4 linked regions of the Elephas maximus indicus genome follow. The protein of the gene in region 2 interacts with the protein of the main gene of each other region in a biochemical or structural test. Links are inferred from orthologs where the notes say so. Each region holds a gene or a part of one and is shown on either strand. Other genes may lie near its edges.

What was found.
Region 1: the proteins of ADRB2 (region 2) and GRK2 form a complex in vitro, tested with the Homo sapiens proteins (2 studies listed by BioGRID, with this or other methods). The link is inferred for Elephas maximus indicus from reciprocal best matches to the Homo sapiens genes ADRB2 and GRK2.
Region 3: the proteins of ADRB2 (region 2) and MAGI3 form a complex in vitro, tested with the Homo sapiens proteins (2 studies listed by IntAct, with this or other methods). The link is inferred for Elephas maximus indicus from reciprocal best matches to the Homo sapiens genes ADRB2 and MAGI3.
Region 4: the proteins of ADRB2 (region 2) and GRK6 form a complex in vitro, tested with the Homo sapiens proteins (2 studies listed by BioGRID, with this or other methods). The link is inferred for Elephas maximus indicus from reciprocal best matches to the Homo sapiens genes ADRB2 and GRK6.

What each region holds. Positions count from the first base shown.
Region 1 is NC_064825.1:130,315,499-130,323,417, reverse strand, and holds the start of GRK2 (beta-adrenergic receptor kinase 1), read right to left. Parts: upstream 3,018-7,919; 5' UTR 2,790-3,017; coding exon 2,677-2,789; intron 1-2,676. UniProt on the Homo sapiens protein: Specifically phosphorylates the agonist-occupied form of the beta-adrenergic and closely related receptors, probably inducing a desensitization of them. Key regulator of LPAR1 signaling.
Region 2 is NC_064820.1:163,838,542-163,845,462, reverse strand, and holds the start of ADRB2 (beta-2 adrenergic receptor), read right to left. Parts: upstream 3,006-6,921; 5' UTR 2,778-3,005; coding exon 1,589-2,777; exon of another isoform or gene 908-1,588; intron 1-907. UniProt on the Homo sapiens protein: Beta-adrenergic receptors mediate the catecholamine-induced activation of adenylate cyclase through the action of G proteins. The beta-2-adrenergic receptor binds epinephrine with an approximately 30-fold greater affinity than it does norepinephrine.
Region 3 is NC_064821.1:167,277,061-167,284,715, forward strand, and holds the start of MAGI3 (membrane-associated guanylate kinase, WW and PDZ domain-containing protein 3), read right to left. Parts: upstream 3,015-7,655; 5' UTR 2,882-3,014; coding exon 2,566-2,881; intron 1-2,565.
Region 4 is NC_064820.1:197,794,812-197,801,903, reverse strand, and holds the start of GRK6 (G protein-coupled receptor kinase 6), read right to left. Parts: upstream 3,020-7,092; 5' UTR 2,882-3,019; coding exon 2,830-2,881; intron 1-2,829.

The sequences.
Region 1 (7,919 bases), on a different chromosome or scaffold from region 2:
GGGAGACAGAAGGCAGAGGGGGTCAGGAGTTGGCTGAATGGATGCGGAGACAGAGGGTGGAGAGGAGTGTGCTGTCTCATTGGGGGAGGGTGGCTAGGAGTATATAGCAAGGTGTATATAAAGATTTGTATGAGATACTGACTTGATTTGTAAACTTTCACTTAAAGCACAATCAAATAAATAAACAAACAAACGTGCGCCGAGGTGACAACAGAGGTGTTCGGGGTGGACAGAGAAGCATAGCGGGAAAGCAGCACTGGCCAGAGGTCCAGAGAGCACGGTTCAAATTCCAGCTCTTCTCTGATACCAAGTCTCTCTCCCTCTGAGTCTCAGTTTCTTCAGCTATTAAATGGGGAGAAAACCACCTGATGTGCTTGCTTCCCACCGTCGTGGAAAGGATAAAATGGAGTCAGAGCGCTTTGCAAACTGGGAAGTGCCAGGCAAATGTGAGCTATAGTCACATCGCCGCTGAGGGCCAGGAGACACTGGACCCACTGGCTACAGTGTCATCACACACCTAGGCCTGGACTCCTGGGTGTCGGTGCCCTGCCATCCAGAGCTAGCGCCTCCGGCCACCTCATGGGTGTGGGGGATGTACCCAACATCCTGCTGCCAGATGGTGACCCTATATGAGAAGCCACAGCACCTGGCTCTCAGCCTCCAGCTGCTCCCTTAGCACTGCCTGCCTGGTCTCCACTTAGGAACAGGGCAGCCAGAACACAGCCCTCCGGGATTTCCTGAGCAACTATTCCATGCAAGGCACAGGCCTTGCCAACTTCACAGGTTCTTTTAGAGCCAACTGAGATGACAGATGTCAAAATCAGTAACAACTTGATTATCATTTCCATCCTGATTCCTATCACCACGACGATCACCACCCTGGACGGCCAAGGAGACAGGAAAAGAAGAACGGCTTGTTTCTCAGGGTTCTAACACCTGCACGGCCAACCCAAGGCGGGGCCCCATCATGAGCAATGCATTCTGGGGTTAGATTACCCAAACACAGAGAGTTCCAGAAAGGGCTCCACCTCACACTTCGCAGAACTCCAGCCTGCAGGAGGGTCTTGAGGCCGCGGCCACCGCGAAGAGCCATTGCGAGCCCTCGAGGTTGGCTCCCCCCATTTCCTCTCTCGTGGCTTTGTCATTTCTGAACTCATTTTGTTCTAACTGTCTCAGCTCCCTGGTCAGCCCCCAGCTGACAGTCAGTTCTGGTTCCTGTTTTGAGAAATCTGATAGCAAACGTCTTAGAAAAAAAGGGGCCCTAACGGCCTTTTCAAAGCGCAGGCCCATTTTCCTCTCTCTCCCAAGCTTGGTGTTCAGTCAACGTGAAACCCAGCAAAAGGGCAGGGTGGAGGGCACCATTGGGAGACTCCTGCAGCTCCAGGCTGAGGCAGCTGCGGCCCTGCTCGGGGGCCTCAGGACACCACAGAGCCACAGCCCTCATTTCACGTCATCCACATTTCACAGATGAGAGAACCGAGGCCCAGACATGGGAAGGGACTTGCCCAGAGTCACAGCAGGCCCGCTCCCAGGCATTGGAGGAATGGCTGGGACTGGCCACGTGACATAAGGAATCACGGTGGGCACACAGCCCTCACAGATGCAGCGTGTCCAGGCAGTAGACGGAACGTAGAGCTAGAAGCTAGAATCCCTGAGGTGGTGGCCGGGTTCCACCCTGTGTTATCTGTGTATCAGTGGGCAGGCCACTCACCTCTGGAGCTTCTGTTTCCCCACCTGTTCCACAGGAATGAATCCACACCTGTCCTACCCACCCCACGAGCTGCTAGGAGGCCCGTACAATGGGAAAGCCATAAAGTGCTGGACAGACTGAGCCCTCTGCATACCCTGTATACCTGCAGCTACATCCTGAAAAGTTTTAAACTTTGATACCAAGCATGGTGACATCAGCTGTCTTACAGAGGTGGCAACCCTGGCCCAGCTGCCGCAGGGCTGCTGGAATGTCCCCTGGTCAACAGCACTCAGCAGGGCACACCACACACAGGGCCCACCAGAGAAGGCATGCCAAGGGGAGAGGACACAGTGGGCGGCCCAGCCAGCACCCGAGCACAGCCCACCTGGACACCGTGCACAGATCCCACCGGGCTCCCCCTACACACCTGCCCAAAAAGCACTCCCAGATTCAGCCCCCGGACAGTGGTCCCATGACAGGAGTGGGAAATATCCCCAGGAAGCAGCCCCAAGACTTGTTGCCCCCCACCCCAACCTCCAACAACTGGCAGGGGTGGGGGAGAGGAAGCGGTGCTGGGGGTAGGAGCAGCCCAAGCATGGGCGATAGCTGATAGCTCCGGCCAGGCAAATGACGGCAGGCCGAGGAGACCCCGCGGGGACCAAGGGCTGCTCAGAGGAGTAAGAAGGGGAGAAGGCAGCAGTGTGGGGCTGACAGGGAGGGAGGGAGCCCGGAGTGGGCCACGGGACGCTGGGAGCGCCTGGGAGACAGTTGAGCTGGGAGCCCGGGGGCCCCAGGTTCAGGTGCACGGGGCCTCGGGACCCAGTCGGAGCCGCTCAGGGCTGCTGGCCCGCGAGCAGCGGCGGGGCAGAGGGGGTCCCGAGGGCCAGTGCTGGGGGTCTGGGGCTGCGGGTCGGGGCTCCGGGTCGGGACTCGGGGCACGGGGCTGCGGTGGGGTCGAGGCAGGGGCGCCCCGCGCGCGGCCTCACCTGGGCTCGGGCAGCAGGATCTTCTTGCTGGCGCGCGCGGCCGGCGTGGCCTTGCTCTTCTCCATGGCCATCAGGTAGCTCACGTCGGCCAGCACCGCCTCCAGGTCCGCCATCTTGGCGGCGGCGGCGGCCTCCTCCCGCCGCTCCGCTCCCTCGCTGCTCGGCGCGCTCGGCCGCCCGGCCGCTCCGCTCGGCTCGGCCGCCGCCGCCGCCCGCTCGGCCCCGCGGCCCCGCTCGCCCGCTCACAGGCGGCGCCGCCCCATAGCGCCGGCTCGGCCCGGCCGGCTCGCACTCCGCTCCCGCCGGGACTGCAGTCGGGGCGCCGCCGCCGCCGCCGCCGAAGCCGCCGCCGCCGCCGCCGTCGCCGCCGCCCGCGCCCCGGAGCCGCCGGAGCCACCGCCGCCTCCGGCCCCGCCTGCCGCGCACAGCGCCAGGAGCCGCGAGGGGCCGAGCCGGCGGCGGCGGGGCGCCCCCTGGAGGCTGCGGGCCGCCTGGCCTGACCCCGAGCCAGGCTTGGGACCAGGAGCCCAGACCCCGACCGTGACCTTGGCTCCAGGCCCAAACACCACAAGGGCCTGGGACCGAATGGGACCCCAGACCCAAACCTTGACCACAACCTCAGATCCCAACTCCAGACTGGGCTCCCCAGGCTTGGCTCTGACACTGACCACGACCTCAGACCCAGACTTCAGAACATGATTTCCAGGACTTCAGCCTCAGACCCTGACGGTAGCCCCAGACTCCCTGACCCAGGACTCAGTCCATGACCTGGATAGCAGTCCTGACCCCAGACTCCAAAACAGGAACCCCAGACCCAGACCTTGGGCCAAGACCTCACACACTGACCACAACCTGAGATGACAACCCTGGGCAGCCGACTCCACACCCAGACCTTCACGCTGACCCTAGAGTCCCCAGTAGGACCCCCAGATCCAGACTTTGGACCATGACCGCAATCTGGTTACTGACCCCAACCTTGATTTCAACCCCAGAACCACACCATTACCGTAACCATGATTCCTGGACTTGATGTCAGGGCCCAGACCTGGATTTGAACCATCAAGACCGGACCAAGGTCCAAGACCCAATGCCCGGGACTCTAGACACACAGGACACAGGACATTCAACCCGGACCCAGAACCCTGAACAGGTCACCAGGACCAAGGACCTGGGACTTGACAACTACAGCCAGACTCCAGACTTCTCCCAGCCCCATTCCGGCCTCAGGACCCCCAGACAGGATCAAGGACCCTGCACCCAGCTCCACCCACTCTGGATGAGCCCAGCCCCCTTCCCTGCACCCCATCCCATCCAGAGGCTGCTGTTCATTCAGATGACTCCACAACGTGGGATCAGACAGACAGGGCACAGGGGCTTCAGCACTGCCTGGCAAAGGAAACCCACCACGCTGAGAGCCCACTCCCAGGTAGGGAGGAGCCGTGTGGCTCCAGGTAGCACCACCATCTCAATGTTCCCCTCTTCAGAGCCCCTCTGTCTTTCTCAGGTGACAGGACCCACTCCCAGTCCTGGACATGTGGAGCTCAATCTTCAGGCCAGTTCAGCAATCAGGACCCTCTTGCAAAACAGGGACCCCCTCCCCGGGGACTTCTCAGGGAAGGAGGAGGCCACAGCTACTTTCTCAGATCAGCCCCAGCAGAGCCTAGAACCAGAGCACCTCAGAGAGGGCAAGGTCCCGTTCTCAACGAGTGACACCCCCATGCACCTAGATACCCAAGTCAGGACTCCAGGCATCATTCCTTGATTCACTTCACCATTTTTTTAAATCACCATACCCTCTTATCTGGCCCCCTGAGAATCTCCTTGAAGCTGTTCGTGTCTCAGGATCCCCATGACCACTGCCCTGGTGCAGGCCCTGACCAGACTTGCCTCTCCCAAATCTATATCTAACCAGGTCACCACCTGCTTAGCATCTAGAAGTGGATTTCTAGGCCTTCTGGGGCTGCTGAGGGTCGGGGACCCCAAGGGAAACTGCAGACCCCCACTCCACTTTGTTCAAAGCAGACCAGGTTAAGATGCTTTTGAACCTGCAAGTCAAGGTCTTGGGTGACTGGGCCCTGCTCCCCTTTTCCCCATCCTCTGCACCTGGGGTCCCTCCACCAGCCTACCTATGACTCCTCACCTCCGTGCCTTTGCTGTTTCCTGTGCCTTCTTCCTTGGCTAACTCCTGCTCATCCTTTAAGACCCACCTCCTCCAGGTAGCCTTCCCTGACCCCGTGACCTGAACTGGGTACATCTCTGACTCTGCATTTTTACCACCTGTTGTTGTTGGATGCCTTAGGGTCCATTTCAACTCATAGTGAGCCCATGTGACAGAATAGAAGAGCTCCATAGAATTTTCTAGGCTGTAATTACTACATAAGTAGATCCCCAGATTTTTCTCCCGCAGAGCTGCTGGGTGGGTTTGAACTGCCAACCTTTGGGTTAGCAGTTAAGTGCTTAGCTATTGTACCACCAGGGCTCCTTACTTACTTATGAGAACCAGTTTCCTTGATTTGAAATCATCAATAGCAAGGTGCACCATTTCACGTTTTTGACCATGGGGGTGGGCTTTATCAAATGTTTGCATCAAGTGGAAAATGCATCGTGATGTTGGGAATGCTCAGTTCAAAAAAAAAAGGAGACACTGCATCTCCCGTGGTACCGAGGCTCCAGGTTTATCTCTTGCCCCCGGTGTCTGGCACAGGGCCCAGCACAGGGACTGACACAGACAGGACATTTGTCAGTATCTGATGAATAAATGAGCTCCCTACCCAAGGTGTCGTGTGGAATTGGGGGCAGAACAGGGCCAGGGGCACACCAGGAAACCACAACAGGAGGCCCTGAACCCTCTCCCTGACCCCAGCCCCGAATCATGAGGACTGTGAGTACAGCCGTGTGCTGGCCTGGGTTTTCTGGGACAGGCTCCGTTTAGGAAATTCTTCCTGAGGAACTTATCAGACCAGGGGCTGCACGTGGGTTCTGGGAGGCAGCCCTGCCTTCCTCCACCACTTGAGAACCCAGATGGCCCCTCCTGCCTGCCCACAGCTCAACCCACATCCCGGGCTAGGCCGGAAGCCCTCGAGGGAGCCTGTCTCCTGGGTGCCCCTCAGTGAGTCCAGGGGCCCAGGAAAGTGGGTTCTGGAAGCCCGGGTTAGGAATAAAGTGGTGCCAGTACCTGACCCCAGGGAGGCTGATTTTTGGGATGGTGCTGCCCTCTGGTGGTATGGGAAGGCCGGTTGCTAAGCTTGCCTTATCTCACAGGCTTCAGGCATTCCTTCTCTCAACAAACCTCGCTGGTGCCCAGAAAGTGCCAGGCTTTAGCTGGGATGCTGGGAGTGCAAAGAGGAAAGGAACCCCAACTCCACCCAGCTGGCAGACTCGTAGACACATGGTTACTTGGTATCTGCACCGATGACTAATGAAGTTTTGCAAACTTAACACATCCCACACGGGGCTCTGACTCCCGCTGCCCAGCTCTTGCCTAGCCTGTTCCTCCTGCCTCCGCATCTCAGTCATGGCTCCTTCACCTTCCAGAAACTCTGGAGTCATCCCAATTTCACGGTTCCTTCATCTCCCGCTTCACCTCACATACACGCACGCTGTCAGCCAGCCTGTCCTGTCGGCTACCTGGTGTGTCTGTCTCTAAAATATACCCTGAATCCTTCCACTGTGGCCTGTGAAACCCGGGCCTGAGTCCCCATCACCTCCCTCCTAGATGCCCACACCTGCTCCTGAGGTCTCCCTCTTGTCCTCGAGCCCATCCGTCCACTCCCCCAGCAGTCAGCCAGAGTTTTCACAGACCACAGTCAGACCTGCCTCCAATAGCTGCTCCCCGCATGTAGGGTAAAGCCCACCCTCCTTTCTGGGACCTGTAAAAGCTGTGTGGCCTGGCCCCTGGCCACTGCTTTAACTCCTTCCCCCTTCCTCTTGTTCCTTGGTGTCTGACCTCCCTGGTCTTTCTGTCGCTAGGACAAGCCGAGCTCAGGTTCACCTCTGGGGCCTTGCCTCTATGGCTCCCCATGCCCAAACACCTTTTCCCCCACTTCCGGCATGGTGGGCCCCTGCTCAAAGCTCTCCCTTGGAACTTCTCTCTGTGGTGGTCACCATGGCACCTTTCATACCCAGCATGGCCCCTGGCACAAAACTGGGGCCACAGAGAGAACAGGACTCAGTGTCAGCCCAGTCCAGTGGGGAAGAAGATCCTTAAACGCACACCTCCAATTAACCAGGCAAGAGCTATAATACAGGTAGGTGGGACACTCAGGGGAAAAGTGTGGTCAGCTGGAGGGTCAGGGAAGGCCTGAGCGAGGTCTTGACTGTGTGTGCACAGATGAGGTCTGGGATGAGGACCAGCACACACCAAGGTCCAGGAGGGGGTGTTCCCGCCTGCTGGAGCCTCATGTCTGTCTCTCCATCCCTGTCCTGGGCTTTGAAGATCTGGGAGGGTGAGCTTGGGGGTGTGCCTGTGAGCCTTGGCTTGTCATCTCTAGAAGGAAGTGTCTGCCTCCGGAGGGCGGGGTGTATGTGTGACATGCAATGGTGTGTACGCAGAGAGGCTGGGTAGAGCAGTGGATAGGGCCCACTCTGGAGCCAGAGTCTAGGTGTTACTAACCAACTCACTTTGGGCAAATTATTTGACGTCCATAACTCTCTTTCTCCTCTGTAAAATGAGGGTGCGCAGGGTGAATCACCACCTCACAGGCTCACTCATTCATTCGACCGTATTTGTTGAGCACCGACTACATGGCAGGCCACTGTGCTTGGTGCTGGGGATCCAATCTGGGCAGAGTTGGACAGTGAACTAACTTGTGGACAAACTACACATAATAGTAATAACCACTGACATTTATCAGGAGCCTGGGTAATCTCACTGAGTGCTGGAAACACCCCTATAAGGCAGTGACAAGTTACTATGAGCAGGCACCTCCGCCCACAGGGAAGTCAGGGAAGCCTCGAGGAGGGCGTTTCTGCCAGAACCAGAAGGATGGAAGGGAAGAGGCTGTTGGGGCAGGACCAAGAGCTTTGCAGGCATGTGGAACAGCAAGTGCGGAGACCCTGAGGGAGGGGAGGGCCCTGGTTATCTAGGGGGCTCCCCCGCATTGCCAGGACGCCGTCCTTTGCGCTGCCCAGGGACTTTCAGCGGCCCCTTAACCCCTCAGGCGCCACTCGCATCGGGCTTCGAAGGCCGTAGCTCCGCCCGAGCGCTGTCCTGGAACAGCGCCTCTCCCCGGAACTTTCCGGAA
Region 2 (6,921 bases):
TATACCAGTGGTTCTCAACTAGGAGCAATATCGCCATAGCTCTCAGAGGCTCTGCAAGGTAAAACTGTTGCATTAGACAGAATCTAAAATCTCTTTAGATTTTAAAAGTTTGTACCAGAGATTTTCAACCAAGGGCAATTTCACCCCTAGGAGGCATTTGACAGTGTCTGGAGACATTTTTCATTGTCACAACTGGGTGGGTGGTGTTACTGGCATCTAGTGGGTAGAAGCCAGAGATGCTGTTAAGCATTCAACAATGCACAGGGCAGTCCCCCACAACAAAGAGTTATTTGGTCCAAAATGCTAATAATGCTGACACTGAGAAACGCTGGTTTATATTGAAGTGAGACGGGTCAAAAGAAAAGGAAAAAGGCGACAGAAGGAAGAAGGGCTAAAACCCTGTTTCACGGTCTTGAGGTGTTCATAGCTACATGTTTCCCAGCTTTTCTCTCGGTGACCAGTGCCCTGTTTGCCCTCCCTTGGAATGCTGGGCTCTGTTTGAATAGATTTTTCATAAGAACATCTTCCTTATTTCCTGAAAATGTCAAGCCCTGATGCAGTACAAGGCTCTCCACTATAAGACATGGCAAAGACATAAATATAAGCAGTTCTCAAACAAGCAGAACTGAAAGGGGGGGGGGGGTGGGGGGGTGTGGAGGGACAAAACATATGCCCACAGCTCCATTTCTATGAGTCAGTGTTTCTGATGTAACAACACAGAATCATAACTGGAGGCTGAGCTGAGCTATGCTGAGAGCAGGTAGAACGGATTTGGAACACAAGTGTTAGGAGAGATACAGGTTTGTAGCAGCCGATTTCAAGGCAGGCGAAAGCGTTAAGCAATCAGCACATGTCATTCCTGGATCATTCAGCATTAAGTCACTGAGCAGTTATTACAAATAGTTACCTGTGGTTTCCAGTGGGGGAGGCAACAACACTCCAATCAAGGGGTTTTGGAGAAACAGGTGCAATGAAGTCATGGTCAAACAATTTATTTACTGTAAACTTTAGACTTTGCTCAGGAAAACAACTGAAGCTGCCCCTCAAATCCCTGCCTACAACACCCTGTTTGAGCAAATAAGAGGAGCAGGGAGAGTCCATGTTCACAGCTGAAAGGTCCGAGATACACAAGATCCTCAAGTCCAAGGGTGCAGGAAGGAACATCTCCTTCAGACGTAAATTACCAGCAGCAAAACGCTACCCCTAACACTTGACCAGTGAGGTAGATACACGGAGGAGTCATCAAAACAGCAGACCCAGGTCCTCTGGGACAAAAGCCCTTCAGACATAAACTTAAAAGTTCCATGCAAAGAGGAACTGAACTGTACAAGAAACAAATAATCACTCAAATACGCTTTCTCTTTTTTTTACAGCTTAAAAAAATAAAAAAAAGGGGCAGAAGGATTTCCTTCCTCCTGCACATCTCTATACAATTTTATTCTAAATTTATTACACTCAAGTTAACAAGTCTGTTTAGTGTTCCTTGGGGAGGGAGAAGTCTTAAAAAGTAGAAATACTGCTTACAGCAGTGAGTCATTTGTACTACAATTCCTCCCTTGGGAATCAATGCTATCGTTATGCACAGTACCTTGACAGTTCACAAAGCCTTGAGTGCCTGGAGGGTCCTCACACAGCAGTTCACTTTCTTTCTCCTGCCCCAGGTGATATTCACTCTGCTCCCCTGTGCAGTCACTTTTGGTGTGGCCGTTGTTGGAGCAGCCGTTCCCATAGGCCTTCAGAGAAGACCTACGCAGGCACAGAAGTTCCTGGAAGGCAATCCTAAAATCCGGGCTCCTGCAGTAGATAAGGGGATTGAAAGCAGAATTGGCATAGCCCACCCAGTTAAGGAGGGTGTAAACTTGCTTGGAGATGAGGTTGTCCTGGATCACATGCACAATGTTGACAATGAAGAAGGGCAGCCAGCAGAGGGTGAACGTGCCCATGATGATGCCTAAAGTCTTGAGGGCTTTGTGTTCCTTCAAGCAGAACTTGGACGACCTGCGATGTCCATGCCCACTCCGCCCATCCTGCTCCACCTGGCTGAGGTTTTGAGCATGGAAGCGGCCCTCACATTTGTCAATCTTCTGGAGCTGCCTTTTGGCTACTTGGAAGACCCTGGAGTAGACAAAGACCATGACCACCAGGGGCAAGTAGAAGGACACAACAGAGGAGGCAATGGCATAGGCTTGGTTCGTGAAGAAGTCACAGCAGGTCTCTTCGGCATAGCAGTTGATAGCTTCCGCATGGGTGGCCCGGTACCAGTGCATTTGGATGGGCAAGAAGGAGGTAAGGCCTGACACGATCCACACCATCAAAATGACCACCCGGGCTTTATTCTTGGTCAGCAGGCTCTGGTACTTGAAGGGTGATGTGATGGCAAAATAACGATCCACTGCGATCACACACAGGGTCTCGATGCTGGCAGTGACGCACAACACGTCAATGGAAGTCCAAAACTCGCACCAGAAATTGCCAAAACTCCACATTTTCATGAGGATGTGGCTGGCCCCAAAGGGCACCACCGCCAGGCCCATGACCAAGTCCGCACAGGCCAGCGAGGTGATAAAGTAGTTGGTGACCGTCTGCAGACGCTCAAACTTGGCGATGGCCGTGATGACCAGCACGTTACCAAACACAATGGCCAGGACGATAAGCGACATGACGATGCCCATGCCCACCACCCACGCCTCGTCCCGTTCTTGCGTGACGTTGTGGTGCGGCTCGTGGCTTCCGTTGGGCGCAGGCAAAAAGACGCTGCTGTTCCCGGGTTGCCCCATGGCGCGTAGGCTGGCAGGTGAGCGCACTTGCTGCAGGCGCACTGGTCGCGCCTCAGCTGGCGGACCCCCGGCGGGGCGCTGCGGGCCGCGAGCGGACGCCTGGAAGCCTCATTCAGCGGCCGTGGGGTGGATGCAGTGGGGTGCGTCCCTCACATTCAGCTTTGCGGGGTGCCCTGGGCTCGCTGTGCCCGTCAGTCGCAGCCAGCGCCCTGCAGGAGCCGCCTCTGAGTCCGCCCAGCCCGTTATGTGCACAGGACTTTAGGGGAACTGCCCTCTCCGTGACGTGCGTCAACTTTCCGCCAATGGCGCGCGGGCAGCCCCGAAAGGGCGAGGCCCCCCTCCCTTCCCGCCCCTAGCTCTCCCCCTCCTGGCCTGGCTCGGGCGGGGCTCAGCTGCTACCCTTTAGGCGGGCGGGCCACCACTCCCTGCCGGCTACTCCGGGCTGCACCCAGAATGCTAAAGCTGGGTCCGGCGTGCTTAACAGCCAACCTAGGAGCTTTGGGCTCTCATATGGCTGCTACCTCTCTGTCCCGGGAGCCTGAACGCAATGAGGTCTTAGCGCAGCGGGCAGCACACCGGCAGTCCCCGACGTGCGGAAAAAGAGACTAGAGTGCCCACCGAGACACGCACGTACAGGCACAAATGCACCCCGACAGGCATGCTCAGACTTATACGGAATCACAGCCACAGACACGGAGACACACCCGTCTAGCGCACCAACATGCACACGCGCGCGCGCACACACACAGAAGCAGACAGGCACAATGTCACCTCTGTCCAACACAGAGGCGAGGCCAAAAGCAAACACAGAAGTGCAAAAGCGTGGTCGCACACAGAAAGAAATGAACCCACAGGAACACGCAGAGACATGGAGAGCGACCCAGACACGGTCGTCCCTGTCCCTACTCACAAACCCCCCCACTCAGGCATTTATAAATGCAGCCCCCACCCCTACTTCCACGCTCCCCGCACACAGACACCCAGCATATTCCTTTTTCAAACATTTGGCAAGACCACAGGAGGTGACTTCAGCAGCTGCCGATTTCCTCAGTACACTCGCTGTCAAGTACTTTTGGTGCCCTCCTTGGGAATTTTGTGGGTATTGAGACATAATTTTACTCTTTGGATTTCATTCAAACTGGGGTCTTCACGTATGTACTTGGGGGTGGAAGGAGAAAGTTGTATGCTTTTGTTTTTAATTCTTGGGAATGTGGCATTATTCCCTCATTATCTGTTGGAATGAAAATGTATTGAAAATGGGACCATTTGCATTTCAACATGGACTACTTCAGTAACCTATTGCGAAGAAAAAAAAATCTTTCATTTGCTCTATAATTTATTTGTTTGAACCATATGAAATTGCCAATATTTGGATGTGTTTGACCCACAAAATGGCAATTTCGTATGGCTCAATCTATTTAGAATGTGCTGACATTAAGAACATTTTGAAAGTACAGAAAGCAAAAGATAATTCTTCCTTGTTACAAAAATAAAAATAAAAAGCAGACCAGTCTTAGAACCAAAGTCTTTGTCCACAAAATACTTTGCTTTGGCATCTGGCATATGACTTTACTGTTATGAAAAAATTAATGCCCAGTGTTTGATTTCATACGTATCAGTATGTCTTTAAAAAATGGAAAGTATTTCATGCAATGTAGTCAAACATACTTTGCAGATTACATAATAAAATAACAATGGATAACATTTATGGAACATTTCCTATGAACTATTCATACATTATTCCATTTAATCCTTCCTACAATCCGGGGTACTATTTTTAACTTAATTCACACATGGGCCTTAAAGAGCGAAATAGCTTGCCTAGAGGCACATGGCCAGAGGCAGGATTTTAACCCCGCTTTGTCTGGCTCTAAAGCCATCTTTTATCTTTTCTGCATACCGTATCATTACAGGAACCCTGGTGGCATAGTGGTTAAGAGCTGGGCTGCTAACCAAAAGGTCAGCAGTTCAAATCCACCACCCACTCCTTGGAACCCCTGTGGGGCAGTTGTACCCTGTCCTATAGGGTCACTATGAGTCGGAATCAACTCGATGGCAACAGATTTGGTATCATTACGTGCAGAAAGGAGTGCAAGATAGGGAAGAAGCATTGCAACTAGTATTAGAATACACAGATTCCAGGTCTACCTGTCTTGGAACTTTCTAGCTCAACTTTCCTTTGGATCTCAGCTGCTACCAAAGAGGTCAATAGTTTGAATCCACCAGTTGCCCCTTGGAAACCCTATAGGGCAGTTCTACTCTGTCCTATGGGGTCTCTATGAGTTGGAATCGACTCAACTGCAATGGGTTTGATTTTGATTTGGTTTTCCTTCGGCACATTACAAAGATGAAGCCTAATTTCATCTGCCTCTACAGAGGGAATAAAGTAACTTTTTTCTGTTGTTATTGGATTCAGTGAGAATCAAATGGGTTATAAGTAATATTTATATAAATTATTTCGTTTAGCATATACTGTTAGTCTCCTCTACCAGACAATAATTCAGGACGAAAGTAAGTTGAGTGTTTACTGTAGAAGCAAAGCTCAGAGACAGTATTCAACTTACAAGTTCCCTTTAACTTCTTTCAATAGCAGAAGCTGTTTCTCTAAGACAGATGCCTTAAAAAAAAAAAGCACATTTCCCATATAAGCCACAGATATTAATTAAGGATCTATTATGTTCCTATGGTTTTCAAAACATACCCACCTCATATTTATGTTTTCCACAATTGGCTCTGGTCTGATGCATTTTAGGAAGAGGCAGTGTCTGTTATGTAACAAAGTTTCCTTAAATATACATCTACTCCAAATTGTGGAACTAAACCATTTAAAACCTCCTTCCTGTTTGTGAAACTATGGAATAAATAAGCATATTGTTTAACTTTCACATACAAGAAAAGGAACAAAGAAAACCCTTTTAGAACAAACACTAATCGATCACTTAGATATACACGTAAGTCACTTAAAAATTTAACTGAGTATTTTGGGAAATACGTTTTAAAAACACCACAAACGCTAAATCGAGAAGGGGAAATTGCTTATGTCTACTAAGAAGTTCCAAGCCCTTGCCCACCAGCCTTGCCAACTGGATTATTTCTCTCTCTCTCTGCTGCATCACCAAGCTGGTAGGAATTTCGAGCTGTTGTCTTCTTGCCAAGAGTCTTTTCTCCTGACCTCCTTTTCAAATCATAGGATTAGAAGAAGGTTAGAATTAAAAAAGGGTTTAATAGATCATTTAGCTTATTGCCTTCAGTTTGCAAATAAGGAAACTGAAGGGCAGAAAAGTGAAGTGTCTGGTTCAAAGTGGCAGGGCAAATTAGGAGTCTAGGTCTGCCTCCTGGCCTGGTATGCAGTTACTGCCCGGCGCTACTGTTCCATTTCCCAGCAGAGGAGTCTGACAAGCACTGCTTATTGTTTGTGCTCATGGCCTTAGAGAGTTAATGCTGCAGTTGAGCTGGGAAGTTCTTAGTAGATTAAATGCACCTTTATCTGCTATAAGAAAAAGCAGGCTTTTTTATGGTGATTGATAGTGTCTAATTACATATTTTGTCAATCCCTTAAGAGACTGATTTGTAGCTTCCTGCCTGCCAAACAGGCAAACACATGAACACAGACACACATTTTGACTGACTTAATGAATTATTTAAGAGTAAGGCTCTGTGGTGCCTAGTAGCTTTCCTTAATTGGGCTTCTGCTAGAGAATCAAACCTTAAAGAAAATTATTAGAGTGACTACATTTCTCAATTCTCCCAAGGATGATACATAGCTTCGTTGGAACAATGACCATCTAGGGACATGAGAGAAGTTAAATCATTACACGTAATGGGTATCTTAGGCCATAGTGCTTAATTATCTTGTTGAGAATGTCCTCCCACGAAAGGCTGAATGGATTAGGAAAACTTATCCTGTGTCTTGGTTTAGACAAGGTCCCTCCCATCTTTATGATTCTTTGAGCAGAGAGACGTCTGTAGATTTCTTTCTAAGTGATTATTTTAAAGGTCTGTCTTTAATATTACCTTCCTAAAGAGGTATCTATTAAATGAGATTAAATGCATGTAAAGTGCTTAGCACAGTGCCTTGGAAAAGAGATAGCTATTAGTGTTATCTTGTTTTTGAATCAAAAAATATGCATAGAAAGCATATTTG
Region 3 (7,655 bases), on a different chromosome or scaffold from region 2:
GTGCTAGTTTCTAAATGATATGTTACAAATATAGTTTAATAAACAGTCACTAGTCAAGACAAGGGACAGAATGCTAAGTACACTTTATAATACCTTGCTAATTTAAAAATCCATTTATCTCACAAATTTTAGACAAAAGGAAAAAACAATGTGAAGGGCAAGTTCCTTTTTAAATTCTTTTACTCTGTATTTTCAACCTTTTGAAAATTAATCACAACAGTAAAGAATCTTTGTCTTCCCTGGAGATAATACTTACGCTGTTTTTAATCACTCACAAAGTTCTACAAAAAACCTCTTCAAATTCTTAATTTCTAATATTTAAAGTCTTGTGTTTAACCTGCAAAAACCTTGCTATCTTATAATAAATGTTGCTTTTAAGCAAAGCCATTTAAGAAATCCATTTAAATACCTAACATGAGACTATTAAGAAATTAAGACTATGATTTTTTTTAAGCAATTAAAATTTTAAAATTACAACTTGTTTAGAAACACGAGTATTAATTTTGGATGACACAGATGTAGTAGTATCCTTTAGAAATTACTGAAGTGGAATGTATTTTTAAAAAATATATTATTAAAATAAGTATATTTATTATTAATAATTACAAAATGTGCTATACCCATTAATACAAATTATTACTTTTATTTTGACTAAACTTTTAAAATAGGACAGTGTCTTTGGTTGTTAAAAAAGCAAATTTTTTCTACTATAAAAATTTCAACTACATTCTGAGAATAAAATATTTATTCAGCACAGTATTACTGAGCACACTCTAAACCTTTAATCATTTTCCTGAATTTGATATAGAGGTTGAGAAAATGTATAACATGCAGACCAGGCTGATGTTAACAATACATCTTCCCAGTTTTCTAAAAGAATCATAATAATTTGAAAATGCATCAGCTTCCTCATCAACGTATCAACGTTAAGCCTATTTCTGAAAAGAACAGCTATAACCTCATCCATGCCCCAACTAATCAAAACAAAACACAAGGCAATGATGCAGATGTTCTCATTATTCCTTCACTCGTGGGATCTGAACTAAATGGCACCTAGGCTAGTCAATGCTATGTAGATACCACTTTGCATATTACACACAGTGTCTCACTGGCTGAATTATAGCCCCGAAGTCTTTTCATGACCTTTTACATAAGGTTCTATATAAGTCTGAGTTAAGAAAGAATTTTGGAATTCACAAAACTATACAAAAAAGGATGTTTAAAATTTGCCAAAGTTTAAAAACTTAGTAACATTTTAAAAACATAAACCTATGAACTTAAAATGAATATGATAGAGTAGACTACAGTATGAAAATCTTAAGATTGTAGGACCATGTGAGTGTATGTGTAAGTATATCCACAATACACGCACACGTACATTGCACCATAAGCCATCAGTTCTGATTAAGCTCAGGGACTATTAAAGAGATATGTCCAAAGAGAGCTGCTGAAAAAGAAAAAAACGAAACAAAACAACCAACCAAAACAAAAAAAGATAACATACTAAATTCTTCCCTAGGTTTTCCTAGCGTTTTACGGTGAAAGGATGGCCTGATTTCTAATACAAGTCAAAATTCAGCAGCCCATTGTATTTCAATGCACGGTATATTAAGTAGAGCACATTCAGCAAAAATAGTGTGATTTTTAATAACCCTGTAATCATAATTCCCTTCTACAAACATCTTAGATGACAGAAACACATTATACTAATGCTGAAACAACCAACAATGTTGTGGATAACAAAATATGCGAGGACTACTACATACTAACAGATTTCACTGTGTGCAGCCTGATCAACGCTCTGAAACCGTCAAGTATGCCATGAACGTAATGTTCTTTGCAGCAGATTTTACTAGCATAAAAGACACCAGGGAAACATGGGTTCTTTTTTACCCATCCCTTCAACAATATTCTGCAAAATCAAGAGATTTACAAAAGCTTCTACTCAGCTAGGCACCATGGTCTTGTTCAAAACCCAGATTCTATTCAACAGCTCCAAGCAGGAACACACCACTCCGCCACACATCACAGATCGGTACGCAGTCACCTGAGCCACCTGAACTGGTAGAGTTAGGCTGTCAGTTCTGAGATGTTGCTAGTGTGTAAGAAACACCGGAGCGGCTAAGCCCTCCTAGGTACACTAGATGGTTAACCCTGGCACCAAGTGCCTTAATAGTAAGAAGCTTCTCCCCCGTTAGAAGATGCGTAAGACTGTTCCAAAGAAAATGGTACAATCGTGAGGACCTTTTCCACAAAGGAGAGCAGAAAAGAGCTAGCTTTTTCTAGTCAAAAACTCTGCGGTGGGAGACAGAGCTACAAATTTAGGAAACCTAGATTCTGGTCACAATTCTGTGACAGCTTACAGAGCAGCCCTGCCAAGTCAGAGCTCAGTTTCCCTACTGGCAAAAGGGGAATCACCGCCGCCACCCCTCCCCCTCCAAGGAGTCAGGCACACCCTAGAGGTCTAAGATTACCCGGGACGATAAAACTGGGGGAGGTGCCGCCGCTCCCAGGACCCCCACCCTGGCCCCCTGCCCCCCGCGTCAGAAGGCAGGGCCGGTGTACCTGGCTTCACAGTCTTGAGACGGATAGGCTCGCGGAAGTGGCGGATGACAGCCAGGGTATCCCGGTTGGTGAGCCCGCTGACAGGCGTCCCGTTCACCTCCAGCAGCACATCCCCGGGGCTGGGCGCCTTGCCGGAGACGACGAAGCAGGTGCCCCCGCCCGGCTCCTCCCGGAGCCGCCCCAGGTAGGGGAACTCGCCGCGCTCCGCGCCGCCCCGGATCTCTGCGCCCAGGTCGCCCGGGGACCCGGCCCAGGACACCGCGCACTCCTGCACCTTACTGAGCCAGTGCTTCTTCTTCTTCAGGGTCTTCGACATCCCGAACCCCGCTGCACCATGGGGGAGACCCCGCGCGGGCGGCCGGGGCGCCGCTCCGGCCCCTTGTCAGCCTGGGGACCCCAGGCGGCCCGCGCAGCCCGGCGAGGGGGGCCTCGCCGCCCGGCCCCCCGACCGCAGCCCGCTGGGGGCCGGGACGCTCCAAGCCCCGAGGCGCCCCTCCGACGCCTCTCCCGGCTGCGCTCCCCCGGGCTGACCGGGCTCGGCGAGGGCCACCCCGGATTAGGGTGAAGAAAGGAGAAGGGAATTGTCCCCGGGCGGCTCCAGAAGGGGTTTCGGGCGGGGTCACTGCCGACGGCTGGCCCCCGGGCTCCGCGCCCGAGCGGCGGGAAAGGCTGAGGCAAGGGGGCGGGGAGGTGAAGGAGGAAGAGCTGGGACGTGAAAAATCCGTCGGGGACGCGCAGAAGCGCGCGTGGAGCCGTCGCTGGATCGGTCTCGATCGCTGCGGCGCTGGAGAGCGGAGACCAACGCCTGCCCAGGCTGCCAGGAAACTGCCGCTTTCAAACCCGCCGCAACCTCCTCCTCCGCCCTCTCCCCTTCCCCCCGCCCTCGCCCAGCCCTCATCCAGAACCCCGCCCCCTCCCGCCGCGCGGCGCCCGGCGCGCTGCCGTCACAGGCCGAGCGCTTGGGAACGAGCCCCAGCACTCGACTTTCACGTCGGGGATTGGCCCCCGGTGCACAGGGGGCGGGCCCTCACGGAGAACGAGGACCACCGATTGGTCGATGGGAGTGGAGGAGGCGGGTACTAGAATGACTGAAGTTTAGAGAGGGTGGAAAAAAGAAGTTTGGAGAGCGAGGGTGGGCGGGGGACTGGAGTGGACTCCAGGTCGCAGGGCCGGGAGAGGCCCTCCGCACGGTCGCTAGAGCCAAGGGGAAACTCGGATGTGAGGAGCGACCGAACTCCCCGAGGTAGGGGCGTGGCTGGCGAGCCAGGCTGCTTGAGGGCGGAGCCTCGAGCCTGCGCCGGGCGCTGAGAGAAACCCGTTGTATTCTGGTAGGAGGCGACGTGCGGAGTCCGTGCTCCCAGGTGGTGGCACCTCCAGGGTGGTTACCTACGTGATTGTTGTTCATTCAACAAATGTTATTTGTGTGCCATCGATGGCACGGGGTACTGGGTATTGAGACCTGGGCTCCGAAGTCTGGTTGATGGAAAGTAAAATAGAGCCCTGCACCTAACTGCTGTGTGACCTCGGGCAAATTAGGCAACCTCTCTGAGCCGCAGCATTCTTGACTAAAAAATGGAGATAATTATACCTGCCCCTTCAAGTTGCTGCGGAGATTAAATGTGATACATATAAAATATCAGCGTGGTGGCTGGCAGCGGTTAAATGCTTCTTAACATTTGGTAGCTGATAAGAGAATGATGACGGCAATGGCTGTGACTTTGTGTCAGATAGAAATTGTGCTAGATACTGGGGTACCAGAATACCTAAAACAGAGGATCTGCCCTCAAAGACATAACAATATAGTGGGAGAGACTGATAAGTAAGCCGACTGCCTGGAGTGAGGTGGGGGCGAAGGATGGATTAGAAGCTAGCCTGGTAGCCCACTTACCTGGCTGGAGTCATGGCATGCTCCTTGCTTGCTGTTTGACCTTGACCAAATTTCAGCTTCAAGTTTACACATCTGTAAAGGAGCTGAAGGGAGAGCTAATATTGAATAATGAATATCTTAGGTCCCTCCCAGCACTAATTTTTGAGAAACTCCCCTTGACCTTTTTCTCCATCTTGGCTTGACTCAGTCTTTGGGCTCTGTTTGGAATGCCCTTTATCCCATCTCATTTAAAAATCCTTTCCATCCTCACTGCAAATGCTATCTCTTCCACATAGCCGTCTCTGATTTGATCCTCATGTGAAAAGCGTTTTCTTTGAGCTATGATACTTTATTTCACATTGCAGGATGGCACTTATTTAGGTAGACTCCTACCACCTTTTAACAGTAGGGAAAACCCCATTTTTAACTATGAATAACTACACAGAACCTCATCAAATCTCAGATAGACTGGACCAAGCTTCAGCAGCTGCAGTGATTTCATTCACACCATCTTATCAGTCAGGGTCCTGGCAGGAAACAAATGGCACTTTACAAAGATGTGGGCAGGGTGTGGGAAACCACAAGAGAAGCATGGAACGCTGAGGCTACAAGCTCGGAGACCTATAGAGGCAAGAGGAAGAAACAGTTACCAAAACTCAGATACAGAGAGGGCTCCTTGGCATGAGTCCATGACTTTCAGTCAAGGGATGCAGTCAGCCTAAGTAATCACTTATGGAGGAAGCTGGGAGGTTTATATCTCACTCACCTCTCTCCTTCAATCTCCTCCTGCTGGTGCATCCCAATGGCCAAATCCAACCAGAAGCCAGAGGGCAAGGGAGCCCTTTACATAGTCCCCCTCAGTCAGTTTCACAAAGGATACACTGCATCTGGCGGGACAAAGAGGAAATATCCAGCACAGATACAATGTGGATTGTTCAGATTATCCTAATCTGAGACATAGTTGGAATTTTTTTAAATTGTGGTTGGGTTCTGTCCCCCCCCTCCCCCCCCCCACCCAGCTACCACCTACACTAGCAGATTCCTGGATGAAATCTTGATTTTAAAAAATCCATTTCCTTCTGTAATGTTCCTCGGACTTGGGCAGACATGGCTCTAGCAGCATTCTTGTCTGTTTTCTCATTCTTGCCTATTCTGTAATATTTCCGTGGACTCAGGCACGCATGGCTCTAGCAACATGCTTGTCCAATTTCCCACTTTTGCCTTTTTGGATATATGCCGAATAAAACTTTCTTTTTGGTTTACTGGGGGAAAAAAAAAGCTCCGTTGAGTTGATTCCAACTCATAGAGACCCCATAGGACAGAATAGAACTGCCCCACAAGATTTTCAAGGCTGTAAATCTTTACGGAAGCAGATTGTCACATCTTTCTCCCACAGAGTGGCTGGTGGGTTTGAACAAGCTGGCTTTTTGGTTAGCAGCCGAACTCTTAACCACGGAGGCACCAGGGCTCCTTGAAATCTTGATTTAAAAGAATGCAAAAAAACTGTTGCCGTTGAATCGATTCTGACTCATAGCGACCCTGCAGGACAGAGTAGAACTGCCCCATAAGGTTTCCAAGGAGTGGCTGATGGACTTCAACTGCCTACCTTTTGGTTTGCAGTCGTAGCTCTTAACCACTGCACCACCAGATTTTAATAACCTCCACATAATCTATTTTCACTGCAATTCTGGAAAACTTCTTTCCACTGCCTAGATTCTATCATTAGAATGTCATTAGCTACAAGGAACAGAATATCCAACTAAACCAAAAACCAAACCTGCCGTTGAGTCGATTCCGACTCATAGCAACCCTTTAGGGCAGAGTAGAACTGCTCCATAAGGTTTCCAAGGAGCATCTGGCGGATTCAAACTGCTGACCTTTTGGTTAGCAGCCGTAGCACTTAACGGCTACGCCACTAGGGTTTCCAAATATCCAACTAGCAGTAGCTTAAAGCAGAAGGACGTTTATTATGTCTTTAACATGAAGCTCAGATATAGGTTGTCTCAAGGACCTAAGTTCTTTCTGTGTTTGCTCCCTGCCATCTTATGTATGTTGACTTTCTTCACCAGGCTTGTCACCTTTTAGTTGTACCGTGGCTGCCACAGCTCTACACATCACATTCTACGAGGTCATTGTCCAAAGCAGGAAGGGGGGAAAGTGAGTACTGCTCCCATTTTTATGAAGGATAGAAATCTTTCCCAGAACTGCCCCCCAGTAGAATCTTCCTTATTGGCCAGAAAATGATCACATGCCCACTGCAGACCGTCACTGGCAAAAGGAAATGAGATTGCCACAGTTCATTAAATTGATCATGGGTCACCCCCCAAAAAATGGGGGTTCTGTTAGAGAGGAAAAAGGGGGAATGTTGTTGAGTAGTGTCATGGATTGAATTGTGTCATGATTCCCTTGTATGATTGTCTGCCATTTTATCATCTGATGTGATTTCCATGTGTGTTATAAATCCCATCACTATAATGTAATAAGATGGATTAGCAGCAGTTATATTGATGAGGTCTACAAGATTAGTTAGTGTCTTAAGACAATCTCTTTTGAGATATAAAAAAGAGAAACAAGCAGAGAGGCAGGGGGACCTCATACCACCAAGAAAGCAGCGCCGGGAGCAGAGCCTGTCCTTTGGACCTGAGGTTCCTGCGCCAAGATGCTCCCAGACCAAGGGAAGACTGATGATAAGAACCTTCCTCCACAGCTGACAGAGAAAGTCTTCCCCTGAAGCTGGCACCTCGAATTTGGACTTCTAGTCTACTGGTCTGTGAGAAAATAGACTTCTCTTTGTTAAAGCCATCCACTTGTGGTATTTCTGTTATAGCAGCACTAAATGACTAAGACAAGTAGGCACCCAACAGTGCCCCACATGCCTTCACCAAGAATTAAAAGTTATATGGACTCTAAGGCAGAAAACTGCAGTGATTAGGAGCTTGAGCTCTGGAGTCAGAATGCAAATCTCAGTCTATTTACTACCCCTGTAACCTTAGGCAAGTTATTTAACTTCACCTAACCTCAGTTTCCTCATCCACAAAATGGATATGATAATAGCACTTACCTAACTGGATTGTTGTGAGAATTGAATGAAGTTATTTGGGTCAAGCACTTATGTAACATAGGGCCCGATACACAGCGAACACTCAGTAAATTATTATTTTAGTTTGTTCTAATGAAATAGGAATATTTCGATGCGACTAAAAGCATTGCTAATCACCTTTAC
Region 4 (7,092 bases), about 34 Mb from region 2:
CTAGGTTGAGATGGTGGAAGGGCCTGAGCCTTGTCTCACAGACCTGGGTTTGAGTCTCCAATTCACTCTTTAGACCCATCTCTTACCCTCTATGAACCTGGATTTATCCGTGTGTACTTTGGGTCCAAATCTACCTCCAGAGGTGGTGAGGACAAAACTGGAGATTCTGTGTCCAGCAGCCACTAGGGCCATGGCAAGAGGCTGGCCTAGCTCCACCAACTAAGGGGCAACCTCAGGCAAGCACATTCCCTTGCCTGGCCTCAGTTTCCTCTCTGTTCTTGCCAGCTGGCTTCCCATCTGGCCTAGGTGAAGGCAGGTGGTGTGGGGGAGGGGGTAGGGCTGGGTCCCTCCCTGGGCTTCCTGGAGGAGGAAGTCTTGCAGGGCACCCATTGGGAAACCTGTGAGTGGCTCTCCTGCAGCCTGCTGCACCCGGCATACGCTGCAGCCATTGCTTCACTGTGAGTGAGCAACAAACTCCCCCCCTCACCATGGGCAAGGCCTCTCCAGAAGGGGAACTCCTCCCCACCCCCGCAGGTCCCTCACCCAGCCCTCCATCTGCCTGCCTCCCCCCACCAGTTACTTCCTCCTCCCCCTCCTCCCAGCCACATCAAGGCAGCAGCCAAGAGTCACATGCAAATACCCTGTCCTGGAGCTGCCATCAAGTCAGTGGGGCTCCCCACCCCACCTACTCAGCCCTCTCCCTGTACCTCTGGGTGCCTGGGAAAGGAAGAAGGACTGAGCAAGGACACACACCCCAGTGCTGCCCCCCTTCAGCAACTCTGCCCATTTGGGCTCAAGGTCATGAGAAAATGAGACCCTGAAGTGAGGAATCCATCTGCTCAAGATCACAGAGGCTGGAAGTGACAGAGACAGGATTTGAATCTAGCTCCCCAGAAAGCTACAGCCCAAACTCCTCCCCTGCCCCCCCAAACATGCTGGGCATCTATTAGGTGCCAACAGTATACATACTCCAAGGATTCCCAAACCACTTTCCGGTCTCTGGATCGCTTGGGAAGCTGGTAAAGGCCCTGGCCCCAAGCTGTTAGCCAGCTCATGGGTGATTCCGATGCAGCCACCATTTCAACCTGGTGGCCCCTGGCCAGATCTGGCTCTCTGACATGATTTATTTATTTATTTGGTTACAGTGGGATTTTTGTTTTGTTTTGGTAAATAAAATCAGCACCAGTATTCCATGGGCAGGGTTCAGGACTTGGTGACAATCAGGATTTCCTTTAATCTTCATGTCCCACTCCCAACCATTCTACAAAGAGATACTGAAGATCAGAAAGACTTGTCTAAAGCCATATAGCTGGGAAGGGGCACAGCGAGGTCTGGTAAGTGTTCTCAGTGGATGTACCAGTCTCTGGCAGGGCCATAAACCCCGTGCCTTACCCGCAGCCTGATGAAGCCTGTCCAATGACGCCCACACTCTCTAGCCAGGCAAGGCAGTGCCCTCAGCAGGCCTGAGGCCTGAATGGCTAGAGCCCTTCAGGTCTGGCCCAGCTCTCCCCACCCCTCCTCCCTGGCTAGCTGGATGACAAGGCAGAACAGAATCGGCAGATGCCCCCAGAGGCTGGGAGGAAGGCCTAGCCCCAGGGCTTGATAAGGGACAGGAGATAAGCGGGGCTCTGGGCACTGAGGACCCAGCCTCCTATGCCCATTTCCAGGCAGCACACCCCAGAGATCCACGAACTTGGGTGAGCCGGAGGACCAGAGGCTGCACCGAGTTGGGCGTCCCTCTGGGCTTCCTACAGACTGTGTTGGGGACATTCTGTGCCTAGGACTGGGTCAGCCATGGACCCTCTGGGTAACACAGGGCTAGTCCCTGGTCTGAGCCTCAGTTGCCCATTGCAAAATGGGGAAGAAATGTGGAGCAGATGACTCTTAAAACCTGGACGCCCAGCAAACTGTGGACAAGCTGTCATGACTGTCCACCCTGGAGTTTCAAAAAAAGGGTCTTGCTCACTGCTGGGCCCTCAGTACCCTGGACAGGGCAGGGCACAAAGTGGGTGCTTGGTGATTGTTACTAGGTGGGCTATGGCAGGGAAGCAGCAGACTGACTACAGGACAGTGAGGACCAGGCCTGATGGTCCTTGTCGGCTAGAACCTTCACAGAGCAGGTGACTGAAAACAGCTGGGGTAGGGAGCCACGAGGGGCTCAGTACACACACTGGGCTCACCAGACTGGCTCCCACCTTGGCAGGTCCAGTGCAGCCCACCCTACATGCTCTCTTCCTTCAAAGCCCACTTCCCACTTATTTCTGTGCCTGTTTGTCCCATTCACCTCTGTCCCACGTACTGAGGTACCCGGCAAGTTGCAGTCGTGTTGGCAGCATATATGACCAGGAGTTTCCCCAACTGGAGTGGGCTGTGCTAAGCACAGGCTGCTTTCATTCATTCTCCAAGCCTTTCCCCAGCACCAACTTTGGGCTGGTTCAGGCTGGGCGGGCGCCCGGGACTGGGCCGAGCACGTGTGGGCTCCCCTCCCTAGGTCATCTTCACACCTCTCATCTGGGAGAGGGCTCGAAGGGTCGGGTCCCACCCTCCCCACTTCCTTCCTCTCTCCTTCCCTCACCCCCTGCCCCCCCGCCCCGCCTCGAGGGCGGCGGCCTGACCCCCGCCCCTTCCTGGGCCCCGGATCCCGGGGCAGGTGCGGAGGAGTACGACCGGCCGGAAGGGCTTGTCTCTGCGCGGGGCGCCGGGCGCGGGATGCGGGCCGCTGAGCCCGCTGCTCTAGGGGGCCGTTTGGCTGGAGCGCACCGCGGAGCTGGGAGGCCGAGTGCCCGCCGCTCCCTGCACCCTGGCCCGTCGGATCGCCCGGTCGCTCACCTTCCCGGGCCTTGAGTAGCACCGTGTTTGCTACGATGTTCTCGAGCTCCATGGGCTGCGGCGCCGCGGGGCCCGCCGGGCCGCGCAGCCGGCCGGGATCGCGCACTGGAGCCGGGGCCGGATGGCGATCGGCGCGGCTCGGCTCGGCTCGCAGTGACCGCGCCGCGGCCTCCCCGGCCTCCCCGGCCGCCGCCGCCCGCCGCGCACTCTCCGCCCCCTCCCGGGAGCCACCCCGGCGCCGGCCCGCCCCGCTCCGCCTCTGTTTACTTTACTTTGCCAATAAGCGAGCCGGTGGTCCCCGCGCCGTTTTCCCATTGGGTTGCCTTTTCATCATTCCCCGCCCCCCAAGTCAGGGATTCGCTCAAAGGCGCAACGGGGGTGGGATTAATTACGTCACCTCTCCCTGGTTGGTCTGAGGGCGGGTTTCAGCCCCTAGGTTCGAATTTCTGGGCCTTCGTAGGATACAGTGCTGCCAATTAGGGGCTAGCGGCTCCTCTCAGCGGGGGACAAAACGGAGGCGGTGTCCTCTGGGTCACGCCCAGGAGGCCAAATGGTTGATTGGATAAAGGAAGCGTCAGCCATTCTCAGGAATACATTCTGATTGGGCTATCGTTGGGGGTGTGGCCATGTGGGGGTGGCCCGGGCGGCTCTGGTGCATCTACCGCTTTTCTAGGGGTTTGTTGGAGATGCGGTGTATATCCCGCTCTCCTGCAAGCCGTATTGCTTTGGGTCGGCCCATCCTGGAGGGCGCGCATCGGGAGCGAGGAGCGTCCCCCTGGAGACCGGCGGACCCCCCAGAGCCTCCCCGGCTCTCCAGAGGCTCCCGGGCCTCCAGCCGGAACGCCTCGGCACCCCCGCCCCGCCCCCACAGCCGGATGTTGTGATTTCTCCCCACCCACACGGCCTCGCCTGCCCTTGGCCTCTCCTGCCTTATAAGGCTGCACTATCACGCCTAGACGTTAGGAGAACTCACGCCCATTATACAGGTGGGGATCTGAGGCACCGGAGGCTGGCTCGAAGCTGAAGACTAGGAGGAAAACAAGGCCGAAATTTTACAGCTAGTCAACACCTTCTTGCTCAGCCCATTCTCTCCACCCCAACTTTACAAAGCAGGAAACAGAGGCTTACCCAAACTCCGCGAGTAAGGCAGAGCCAGGCTTCTCTGCGCCTTGTTCATTCATTTATCCTGAAATACCTACAGAGCACTCACTTCGTGTCAGGCACCAAGCCAGGTGCTGGAATTACAGTGGTGTCCGCAAGATAGCCAGGCTGCCTGCATGCTCGCTAGAAGCGGGGGTGGGGCGAGGGGGATGGGTAAAGATAATAATCCTGTAGCTAAATAAAGGAGATGGCTTCAGACAGTGATAAGTACTACTAATACAATGAAATAAAGAGTGAGTGAGAATGGGCTCAGAGTGTGACATTTGAGCAGAGACCTGAATGATGGAAAGGACCCAATCATGCAAAATTCTAGGGAAACAGAGTTCCAGGCAGAGGAAACAGCAAGTGCAAGGCTCAAAGCCTAGGATAAGTTTGGTGCATTCAGTGAACAGGAAGAAGGCCTGTGTAGCTTTAAGGTTGAGTGATACAATGAGAAACAAGGTGCAAGGGCACGAGATAATGGAATGCTTTGTAGGCTATAAACCGCAACCCCCCCAAAAAACAAACCAATTGCTTACGAGTCAGTTCTGACTCATGGCGACCCCACGTGTGTGAGAGTAGAACTGTGCTCCTTAGGGTTTTCCTTGGCTGATTTTTTAGAAGTAGATTGCCAGGCCTTTCTTCCTAGGCACCTTTGGGTGGGCTCAAGCCACTAACCTTTTAGTTAGCAACTGAGTGCATTAACTGTTTGCATCATCTAGGGACTCCTTGTAGACCATAACAAGGAGTCGTTTTATTTTGTTTTTTGTTTTTTCCCCTAAATGAAACGTGAAGCCTTTGAAAGGATGATTTCTACTTTTAAAAGGTTGCTTTGGCTGGTGGACCTTTAGGGGGCCAAGAGTGTTAGCCAAAAGAGCAGTTGGGAGGCTACAGAAGAATTCCAGGAGAAAGATGACCTTGGCTGGGACTAAGGTGGTGGCAGTGAAGATGGAGAAAAGTGGGTGGGTCTAGGAACATTTGGGAGTAAAGATAAATATCTTGAAAGAGGGAAACCCAGTGGCCAGTGGAACAAAGAACTTGAGGTGGGGGTGAGGGTCAGTGAAGGTTGTTGTATCTCAAGGTGAGACCTGACAGTTAAGTGGGAATGTGCTGGTTTCAGAGATTCCTGGAGCTGGAGGGAAAGGGCCTTCTGGGCAAAGACCCATAGAGGAAGGAGGTAAGGGCAGAGCATCAGGCTAGATTTTAAGGTGCAAGTTGGGGTCGAGAAATGAGGCTGAGGCCTTAGGAGGAGTCTGGATCAGGGAGGTCCTTGGAAGCCAGGCAAGCAGTTAAGGCTTCATTCTGAGGGTAGTGGAGGGCCATGGAGGGGCTTTTAAGCTGGAGAGTAGTATGGTCCGATTTGCTTGGACGGTGGGCTCTGTGGTGCACTATGGAGGACAGGCTAGGGCAACGGGTAGGGGGGAAAGAGGGGCCGAGGCCCACTTGTGGATACCCGTTGTTTTGTCACTGCATCTGAATACCCCTCCCATTTAGTTGGATTCCTACAAGATGCAGAGGCCTCTGCCTTCCACCAGAGCAATCCCAGAGGGGCGGCAGTATTTCCTCTCCCAGGTCTCTGGTAGCTGGAGCACATTTCCAGTGTTTCCAACCAGGTCTTTGAATACAGAGCAAGTGATCAACACGAGACATGGAGGGCACCATTTAGAATTCACTGTGGAGGCAGTAGATTGGAAGACAGTCAAATTGGCTAATCAAAGCCAGGTCTTTCCTAAAAAGAAACAAAAAAAAAGTCATCTAGTTGATTCCAACTCATAGTGACCCTATAGGATAGAGTAGAACCATCCTGTAGAGTTTCTGAGGAGCGCCTGGTGAATTTGAACTGCTAACTCTTTGGTTAGCAGCCGTAGCACTTAACTACTATGCCACCAGGGTTTTCAGGCCCTTCTGACGGAAGGGAGTTCAGCAAGCATCCCAGGAGCTGTCTGATCTGTTCTTTGTTGGCCTAAGTGACCCAGAACTAGCTTCGTTGTTTGCAACCAAGCATCCTGACTAAGACAGGCAGATGTTTTATGAGGAACTGTCAGAGAGGGGAATGGTACTGCCCTTGCTGGGGTAGTGGCCAGGCTGTGCTTTCACCTGGACAGGGTGAGAGCTATCATGGAACTGGAACGAGCAGGACATGGCCATTGATCTGGGGTGACAAGGGGAAGGTGTCCTGCATAACTCTCAGGTCTGACTCTTCAAACCGTTCTCCACCCACTGCCAAAGTGATCTTTTTTAAAAAAGAAATCAGCCACCAACCATCTGAGATATGCACTTGTAGAAATTTGTCCTACAAATATAGTTGCTTCCAGGTAAAATGAGAAACGTTCAAGGTTATTCATTGCAGCATTGTCTGAAAAGGTAGAATATACAAATCTTCCTTAGTAGGGACTGGGTAATAAAATTTGTTCCTTTCTTACACAGGAATACTATGCAGCTGTTTTTAAAAAAGGGAGTCCCTGAGTGGCATAAACAAAAGGTTGATGGGTGGAGTCTACCCACAGGCATCTCAGAAGAAGGGCCTGGTGATCTACTTCCGGAAAAAAAATTAGCCCTGGAAAACCTTACGAACCACAGTTCTACTGTGACACACATGGGGTATCCACGGGTCAGAATCAACTCCATGGCAACGGGGTTGAATTTTTTGGTTTGGTTTTTAAACAAAAAAAGAGTTGGGAGGGAGCTCTTCAGTACTGATATAAATGATCTCCAAGATATATTGTTAAATGAAAAAAAGCAAGGTACAAACCAGGTATAAGCTTTGCTACCATTTGTGTAAAAGGGTCAGGATAAGGTAGGCTAAATTATCCTGCAGTAACAATCCCCAAATTTCAGTGACTTAAAACAACAAAAGTTTATTTCTCATGTATACCACAGGTCTAACCCAGGTTGCTGGGAGGTGACAGGGACTCTACTCATGGTAATCACTCAGGGATCCAGGGTGACAGGGGCTCTATCTCAACTTGTGCTTCTGTGAGGGCAGAGAGAGTAAAAGGAAATGTGGTAAGTTGTATAACAGCCCTTTAAAGCTTGCACCTGAAAGTGACACAACTCACTTCTGCTCTCGTGTCACTGGTCAAAGAAAACCATGTGGCCACACTATAAATGATTTGGGGCGGG